Linked DNA regions of Arabidopsis thaliana. The protein of the gene in region 1 interacts with the protein of each later gene in a pairwise test. Each region holds a gene or a part of one and is shown in the gene's direction. Other genes may lie near its edges.

Region 1 (5,246 bases):
TTGTAGGTTCAGTGGTAAGGGTAAACTCGTAAAATACTTGCATAGAAAAATACTTAAATCTATAAGGCATATGAGATATGTCTGTTTTCATAAAGATATAAACTTAATTGTGTCAATCCCATAATTAATCCCTAAATTGTGAGTTGCAGTTTTAGAGTTTATGAGTCTTTTTTAAAAAAATTATTATGTTCCATTTTAATATATTTTAGTACCAGGTTTACTTCCCCTTTTTTTTGGGTTTTAACTTCTTTCTTGTTTGAGTTTTGCTTTAGAGATTTTAGTTTTTGTAAAGCAAAAATTTGCTCCTGATGAATCATGCCTAATGCTACCTGTTCTTATTGTCGATTTGGTAGTCTTTCATTGCAGCAAATATTCTTTCAATCACTTCTTTCAAAAAATCTACATATACATTTTTGCAGCCATTTTAACAAATAAATCCTGAATTTGGACTTATTTACAACTCAATGCCATTAGCATTAAATCTTTTCTCCAAAATAATTAATTTTACTTGATTTAAATTGTCAACCACATTATCAATCAAATTTAACCCTTAAAATTAGCATAAACATATTTGTTAACAATATTTTAAAACAAAGTTTTTTGTTAAAACAAATATTATTCTTACTAAACATTTTTTGTTTAAATAAATAAATCATGTATTTGAACTTATTTACAATCTCATGACACTGACATTAATTATTTAGGAATGAAAATATTTAATTAAAGATTTAAATCTTCTAAATCCTTGCTTTTAGAGTTATTATGTCATTACCTTAAAGGCTCAAAATATAAAATAAATAAATATAATTATTTAAATATTTTAAATTTATAAAACATTATTAATATTTAAAATTATAAAAAGTTTAATATATCATAATTTTTTAACATCATTATATAATATATAAAGTTTAAAAAAATCTCTATTCTTTCCGCCATAATTTGTGATTCGAAATTTTAAAAATAAACATATATTAACCAATTGGCGAAAAATGTTTGAGTTCAACGTCCCACATCGACTAAAATATTTAGACAATAATTCATAAACATATCATAAATAAGATTAACATTAATAAAATAATGGTTTTTTTACGGGACGGGTTTGGCGTGACGGGTTTGGCAGAACGTTACTTAATAACAATTGTAAATTATAAAATAAAAATATTTTATAGATAGATACAATTTGCAAAATTTTATATATATTAACTTTAAAATATAAATTGTCCCCGCGGTGTACCGCGGGTTAAAATCTAGTATTGAAATATTTTGGTTTCAATTATTTATTTATCGGGAATTGATTTTGAATTGGTAGTGTGAATTATTGGTGTCACTGTTATACCGCGCTGGCAATTAAATCGATAGGGTCATATAGATGTCATTAGGTAATCGCAAGAGTAATATATTTTATGGATATGGTAAGGGTTGATGCTTTGTCATGGTTTTTATTATTATTATTATATATAAATGTAAATATTAATGAAATAGTGTGTATATATATATATAATAGTTTTGGAATTACATGATGTATAATGTATATAGGGGTTGAGAGACCTATGACCGGTCAAAATTTGGGGGCCAAAGTAACAAATTATATATTTGGGGTTATTATAAACTGTTTTGAAATTTGGATATATTTTTCTTAGAACTAAATATATTTGGAAGCCTATTTATAAATCAGGTTTGCTGTAAAAAAAAGTTTTTAAAAATGGAGACAACATACAAATGTTTCATGTTGCTTCTTTCAGAGCCGGCCCGGGAGAAGCGTTGCCAAAAAAGAATAAAGACAAAGGTAACAAATAAACAAAGAAGACACAACAGTGAATTCATCTAATCCAAAGTTGTATGTGGTTTCCGAAATGCTTCCTTTGTCTTGTTCCGAATCTCTCTGTCGATGAACTTGAAAATGGTGTTTCACGTTCATTCAATAAAAAATAACAACCATAGTGTACACAGAGACTGATAGTGAAATAAAGGAAAAAAAAACTATAATCTGTTAAATTCAGATAATATCTATTATTTTTTTGTTTTGTTGAAAAATCAAATCTCTAGTAACATTAATGAGTATGAATCGTGTCTGGTAGTTGGTACGAATCGAGATCTCATCAATGGGTTTTTTAAGCTGCTTTGAGACGTGCGTAACACGAAGTTGTCCACTATGACTTGCTCTTGTACTTATAAGTTAAAATAATGATGCAGCAGAAAACAATTACTATTTTGTGAGACACGTATATCCCAACAAAACAATATGTCGTAGAACGTGCTAATTAATTAGTGAATACCTACGTGTCACGATCTCATGAGATTGGTGTATTACTGAGAACTAACGATCTCATGAGATTGGTGTATTACTGAGAACTAATCACTAATAAACGTGAATCTCGTGACACATATTATCATTATGCCTATATATACGTACATAAAACAAGACATTATTACAAACACAAAATATAGAAAAAGAAATAATGTATTCAGAGGAAAAGAAAAGCAGAAATTATGGTTCAATCTTTGTCTACTGCTTCTTCTGTTTCGTACTCATTGTGGAGGTTGCAAGATTCGCAAAACCTTATATCAACCTTCAAAACCTAATTGAGACGGAAGCAGTAGTAGAAGAAGGTTTCATGGCGGTGGGGAACTCAGGGAATCTTCCGTGTGGCTCGTCAAAACCTAGCTCTGCCTCTGTTCGTGCTCATGATGAACAGAAGCTCTCGCAAGCAGTAACAACAGATACGAGAACTCGTCCTCCAAATTCGTACTGCGTGAAGTTCCAGTCTTTTGTCACTATGGCAAAGCAGGTCAAAGAAAACGGTGGCAAGTATGAGTCACGTCCTTTCTCCGTCGGTGGATACAATTGGTACGTACGCGTTGACTTCCATTTCAAAAATGTTGAGAAACCATACCTTATACATAGAAGATATACATTTTTTTTTGTCAAAGGGTATTCATTTATATACTAGTGTTTTGATCATCTCCACTTTCTATGTGAAAGATTTTAACTTATTGCTCTGAATCTCACCCAAATTTTAATTTGTATATAATTTGACATATTTCTACTTAAAATGTTATAAGGACGCTCCTAATCTACCCAGTCATATACATTCCAACGGACTCGGGTGGGTACGTTTCGATTTACGTAAGAGTCGATAACTCAAGCCTCATCACCAATCCAAAAGATGTGTATGCAGAGATCACATTCCTCGCTTATAAAAGCAGTACAGACAAGTACCAAATAAGCCAGGGTACTAATTAACTAATCTAGAGCAAGTAAATATATATGTTTAAATCTTTTGTGGTTTGTTCAGACTAGTTATTTAAGTTTGATCCGTTTGCAGAGACTGAGGCCCAGCGATTTCATTTGTTTAAACAACAGTGGGGACTTTTACAATTTCTACCAATTTACTATTTTGAAAATCCGGCATATGGATACTTTTTCGAGGGCGAAAGCGTTGTGTTTGGCGTTGACATCAACATTGTTAAACCCTTTGAAAATTGGGAAGTGTTCTCTAATGAACAAAACATTCGTGACCCTATTTTCGAATGGAGACTCACCAAATTCTCTACACGTTTTCTTGACTCTTACACTTCTGATTCCTTTTCTTCCGGAGGAAGAAACTGGTACGTGTGACTTTCTTCCTCTTGTATATATATAACAATACGTACAAGATGTGTTAGTTTAATAATATGATGGTTTTTTACATTGAAGGGCATTGAAAGTGTATCCAAATGGAGTTGGAAATGCTACGGGTAATTCGTTGTCACTCTATTTGTTGAGTGATCAGTCAAATGATAAGGGTTATGTGGAAGCTAAGTTACGAGTTATTGACCAGATCCAATCCAACAATTTCGAGAAAAAAGGTTTGATATCTACTTTGTCAACTACTACTACTAATTTAAAGCTAATTAATTATAATTAATGAGCCTTTAAAAAATAAAAATAACTTTTGATTTCTTCCTATATACACAGTGGCGGCATGGCCCAATGCAACGGAGAATGGATGGGGTTTCGACAGGTTTCTATCATTTGCAGATATCAAAAACACATCAAAAGGTTTCCTAGTCAACGATACTCTCAAACTTGAAGTCCAGATCTTGTCCTTCTCGAAAACCGACTACTACTCTCATCAATCGTCTCTTAATGTTTTAACGGGAGATAGTACTTAGGTGACTAATCGTCGCTAGTGTAATTTTACAACTGGCTACTATCACTTTGCTTCATTGTGTTTTTTGTTTCTGTTCAATAATAATGAGTTCGAGCTTTCCTATGTCAAACTTGATCAATCTGATTTCACATATTGAATACCAAATTGGATAGGATGAAAGAGGCAGTCCCTAGGATGTTTTTTTTTTTTTTTGGATTTAAAGATTGGGTACGTAATCCATTCACATTTCCTTTTATAATTGTCCACTTCTTAATCGTTTAGTCGATCGTCTACGGCTTCAATAATTGTAGTTTTGTCCTTAGTAATTGATTATTCTTTTCACTTCGTTTTTCGTCCACTAATACAATTACTACAATGTTGTTCTTCTCCATAAACATTATCTACATCGATTCCTCTCTATTGCTTGTAGTTGTACAGTTGTCTACTGCGCTTAAACTTTTTGTTCACTTTTCATTTATGTTCCCGTCCTCGGCTTCAACTACTGTACTTTTGAAGATTTGTTAGATATACTAGGAACATGAACTGCTACTAAAAACTTGTCCACGGTTCCATCTTCGTGGACATCTGTATTTTGTTTACTTCGTTTCTCGTCGACTGCTACAACTACAGTATTGTTGTCCATCATCCCTTCTCCGATACATTATCTACATCCATCTTTCTTCGTTTCTCGTCGACTCCTACATGTTTGGGTGACAAATCATCAAGTGATAAATTATTATTGTATTAAAAGCAACCATTTTTATTGTATAACAACCATCATAACTTTCTTTCTGTCCACATTTAATGTGCCACGCCACACCATCATCTTATCTAGACGTCAACTGCTTTTGGCAGAGGTGTCAGCCTCATTGGGCGAAATGTTTTGTTTCCCTCCATAACCAATTAAAGGTAGTTTAGACATCTTCTCCTTTGTCAAAAGCTGACTCATTGCACAATTTTAAAGATATAAAAAATAGCATTGCCGACAAAATATTTATACAAATATGGCACAATTGGCAAAATTCCCTTAAAAAACATAAATAGTACTTAACAAGATTATATCACTTGATGATTTGTCACCCAAACATTTTCTAAAAATTCTTGATCTGAATT
Region 2 (4,692 bases), on another chromosome or scaffold:
CAGATTGAACCTCATGACTATATGGCTAGACTTTTTAATAATATCAGCCAGTTCAACACTATTTTAATTGATTTTGACAGAGATATATGGAGCTACATATCTCTAGGGTACTTTAAGCAGGCAAGTGTTAATATAAGAAAGGAAAAAAAAAGATGTCAAATCATTTGAATCTGAATGGGAAAATCGTCTCATTGTTTGAGATTTTGCAGACAACTAAAGCGGGTGAAATTGGATCGTCGACAATGCCTCACAAAGTGAATCCTATTGACTTTGAGAACAGCGAAGGGAATCTAGGGAAAGCAAACGCAGAGCTTACTTTTCTCAGCATGAAGCTTCCCATTTCACGCATGCAGGTTTTAACATTTCTCCATATTCTATGTATCTCAGCTAGAGTGATGGAAGTAAACTAAGCCTGAAAAATGTACAATCTGCAGCGTGATTTAACTGATTCAACTGTCTTGAGAAACATGGGTGGAGCTTTAGGACACTCTCTTCTCGCTTACAAGAGTGCGATACAGGGAATCGGGAAGCTTCAGGTATTATTACCGTAGCCCTAAGAAATGTTTCCACTTGTCACAAACTAAGAATGTTCTTGATATAGGTTAATGAAGCTCGGTTAAAAGAAGATTTGGATGATAATTGGGAAGTCCTTGCTGAACCAATACAAACTGTAAATTTCTCGAGTTTCTAATCTTCTATATCAATCAAGATATTTGATGTATCTCTAATCCACAGAAGTATTATGGTATCAAATAAAGGTGATGAGGAGATACGGTGTCCCTGAGCCGTATGAGAAGCTGAAGGAGCTAACAAGAGGAAAAGCTGTGAATGAAGAAACCATAAGAACGTTTATCAAAGGTTTGGAATTGCCTTCAGAAGCAAAAGACCAACTTCTGGAGCTAACTCCACACACATATGTTGGTGCTGCTGCTGCATTGGCACTGGCCGTGGATGAAGCTCTGCACTTGGGACATTGATGATGATCAAAGTGGTGATAGATTGTCCTCTTTTATTATGGTATTCTTTTCGAAATTGGTGGAAAACAGAGACAATTTATAGGTCGGTGACTTGCAAGTCGTCGTTTAAAATGTTAAGAAAAATCTTGTACCATTGTTGTGTTATGTTTCCTCTTTGAGTGTCTGTGTTTTATCTAAGTCTTGAGCTATAAGCTGTGGTCAATGATTCTCGAACCAATACAAATTATTGTAATAAAATAGGTCATATACACATTGGTGTCAAATAATAAAGAGTTCTCAAGTTGAAATTCAATTTGAGTGGTTTTTGTTTTTCTTTATAACCAAGTGTTATGTAGGTATCAAAATCTAGCAAATATATATGCATATAGTAGTCAAATAAATTGTCCACAGAAACAAAACTGAGAAATAATAATGTTAAAATGTTGTTTGTCAATTAAGAGCTTTAAGTAATTCTTCTATTTATTGCTAACATTTACATGAACACAAATGTTTTAGCCTTTTAGGTCTAAAATAAATAATATAAGATCTATCTCAAAAACAAACTTACTAGTTTCCTTTAGACTTGATCTATTACTAAAAGTCTAGTACATGTGTCCAACAATAATCTCAACTCTACACTATATTTAGTGTCATATAAAAAAAATCCTTAGAAGTTAAAAATAGAAATGGAAAATTTCATGACAATATACCATAAAAAATCTTTTACCTAGATATCTTCCTACACATTGCTATAATTTTATTTATGAACAAATTTCCCTGTGATTTTATTTGAGAAAAGCTATAAATTGAATTATTGAATTGAAGACATAATAATATTGTTTTTTCCTGCAAGTGTATATTGTTCTGCGTTTACCAAGTTCATGGCGGCCATAAACCCGAAGATTTCGTCAAACATGTTTGTTCTCTAATCTTTCCAACGACTTTCAAAACATATACATATGCTAAGTCATGCATATAATAATAACAAATGATTGAATCCTAATATTATTCTTATTTTTATAACACTACCAAAACCAATAAGCCCTTTCGTCGTTACCCACTACCCATAATTTCATTTCATTACAAAACACAACAACACATCATTCATTTCATTAGATCATATTGCAACATCTCTCTGAATTCTTCTTTACGATTTTGTAACTTCTATCAAATACCTTAATAATGGGAGCCTACAGAGCCGACGACGACTACGATTATCTCTTCAAACTAGTCTTGATTGGAGATTCCGGCGTCGGAAAATCCAATCTTTTGTCTCGCTTCACCAGAAACGAATTCAGCATCGAGTCAAAGTCAACCATCGGTGTCGAGTTCGCCACAAGAAGTGTTCATGTCGACGAAAAAATCATCAAAGCTCAGCTTTGGGACACCGCTGGTCAAGAAAGGTAATAAATCCTCGAAATTTCACTGTTTTATCTCTATATGTTCTGTTTTGTTTCATTCTTTGAACCAAACCAAACCGAAATGGTTGAACAAAAATCAAACTGGATAATTTTACAAATTTGTTTGTTTTACTATTTTGAAACCAATATAAACTGATTTAGTGTAACCAAATAAACCGCATTTTTTTAGAAATCCTCTACTTTTGATTATGTATCTCTATGGAAATTAAATTGAAATAGTTATGTTACATTAATATAATATTAACTAGATCATGATTTATTTCAATTATCAATTTCGATTTTTTTTATAAATATAATATACTTTTAATTATGTATATGTATGGAAAATTGGAATAAGTATATTGCACTGATATAATATTTGACTAGATAATGATTTTATTTTAATAATCAATTTCTATAGATTAACCAAATATAACTTTCTTGGTAAAAAGTTTTTTTTGCTAAAAGGAACCAAATATAACTTAATTCAAATCAAGAACAAATTGGAAAATAAACCAGATTACAAATTATTTTATTTGGTTTTAATTTCTATTAACCGATATAATCAATAGCCGAAACTAACCAACCGTAAACCGATCTCCCACTCCTATGCTCTCTTTCTTCTCTATATGCTCTGTTTTTGAGTAATAGCGACTTATTTGTTATACAGATACAGAGCAATCACGAGTGCATACTACAGAGGAGCAGTGGGGGCACTTCTAGTATACGACATAACTCGACACATAACGTTCGAAAACGTTGAAAGATGGCTCAAGGAGCTTCGTGACCATACCGATGCCAACGTTGTAATCATGCTTGTTGGAAACAAAGCCGATCTTCGTCACCTTCGTGCAGTTCCCACAGAAGAAGCTAGATCATTCTCTGAAAGAGAAAACATGTTTTTCATGGAGACTTCTGCTTTGGATGCTACAAATGTCGAACAAGCTTTCACTCATGTCTTGACTCAAATCTATCGTGTAATGAGCCGTAAAGCTCTTGATGGTACTGGAGATCCGATGTCTTTACCTAAAGGACAAACCATTGATATCGGAAATAAGGATGATGTTACTGCTGTTAAATCTTCTGGTTGTTGCTCAGGTTGAGATTATTGTTTTTGTTTTTGTAAACTGTCTTTTTGGAAGAAGGCTTTGGCTTTGGTTTTGTTGTATTGGACTATTTTTGGGGGCTTCATTTTAAGGTTATGAGACCGGTTTGTTTTATAATACAAACCGAAGAATTGTATTGAATTGAACAAGACTTGGTCCGGTTAATAAGATAGTTTACTAATACCGAACTGATCAAACATATATGATCCCAAAAAGGGAACTATCAAACAACCATAATCTTAGCTTTTGGTGTAAGATTTAGTTATGATTTCTCTTTAGGACATGAGTAGCCGACTTGAATCGATACCAAAAGTCTGGTGCTAACAAAGCGAGAATCTGATAAACTTATTAGTAATGTGAATTATGATATGAACATTTTATCGTATCTAATCGAAAGATTATTAGCGTCCAAGAAAATAGCTTTTCTATACAACTAAATAGCATCGGCTAGTTTTTTTCTTAGGGTTTTTGAGTTCGAACCAGCGCAGGTACATGTTTAAAATATCTATTAGTAAACATATCGCATCAATATATATAAAAAGGAAATTAAACGTAACAAAAAAAAAATTAACTTACCAAACTTTAGAAATAATTGAAATAATTTACCAAAAACCAAAGAGAAGAAGAGGAAGATATGTATAACTTATTCCACACGGAAGCAAGTTAGGTCCACCGTCCAAATTATGAGAACACCTTTCCTTCCAAGTCTAAGGATGTTTATTGTTTCGTACACTTGACAATCATCATAATTATTCATGCGAATATTATTATATTTCTTATAAACTAAATCATGAATTATGATCATTTTTACTTTTTAGTACTGAAGAAATGAGAACAATGCAGCAAAATAGAAAAACTAAGCATCATGTGAATACGAAACCGGAGATTCAAAATTTTAACTACTTCAAAAATTAAGAATTGCGTCAAATAGTGAAACACCTCTTTAAATCTCTTGATTGTAAGACTCTTTGAAAATATTTTTTGGATATATTATAGCAAAATGTGTAACGTGTGAGGATTCGTATTAACTAACGTTAGTTAACTTAAAATAATGCCAACTAATAACTACACAAAAATTCCTTAAAAAGGAACCATGCATAAAGGTGAAAGAAACGAAAATTCGTGGTTGGTTGACTAAGCACTTTACGTTAAACATATATGTTTATCCAAAAATTAATTATCTATTTGTTAGACGTTACTTGACCTCCACAATGGATGGATTAGTCATAT

What was found. Proteins that work in one complex are often made in the same cells at the same time.
Region 2: the proteins of ZW9 (region 1) and RABA1e interact in a two-hybrid assay, tested with the Arabidopsis thaliana proteins (one large-scale study listed by BioGRID).

Annotation. Positions count from the first base shown.
Region 1 is NC_003070.9:21,611,303-21,616,548, reverse strand, and holds ZW9 (TRAF-like family protein), read left to right. Parts: upstream 1-2,379; 5' UTR 2,380-2,459; coding exon 2,460-2,848; intron 2,849-3,063; coding exon 3,064-3,233; intron 3,234-3,326; coding exon 3,327-3,609; intron 3,610-3,697; coding exon 3,698-3,849; intron 3,850-3,958; coding exon 3,959-4,155; 3' UTR 4,156-4,746; downstream 4,747-5,246. Other genes in the region: AT1G58265 (Cytochrome P450 superfamily protein), read right to left, coding at 5,161-5,246.
Region 2 is NC_003075.7:10,182,670-10,187,361, reverse strand, and holds RABA1e (RAB GTPase homolog A1E), read left to right. Parts: upstream 1-1,978; 5' UTR 1,979-2,138; coding exon 2,139-2,359; intron 2,360-3,026; coding exon 3,027-3,459; 3' UTR 3,460-3,691; downstream 3,692-4,692. Other genes in the region: AT4G18440 (L-Aspartase-like family protein), read left to right, coding at 4-120, 210-353, 435-536, 602-670, 759-977. UniProt on the Arabidopsis thaliana protein: Intracellular vesicle trafficking and protein transport.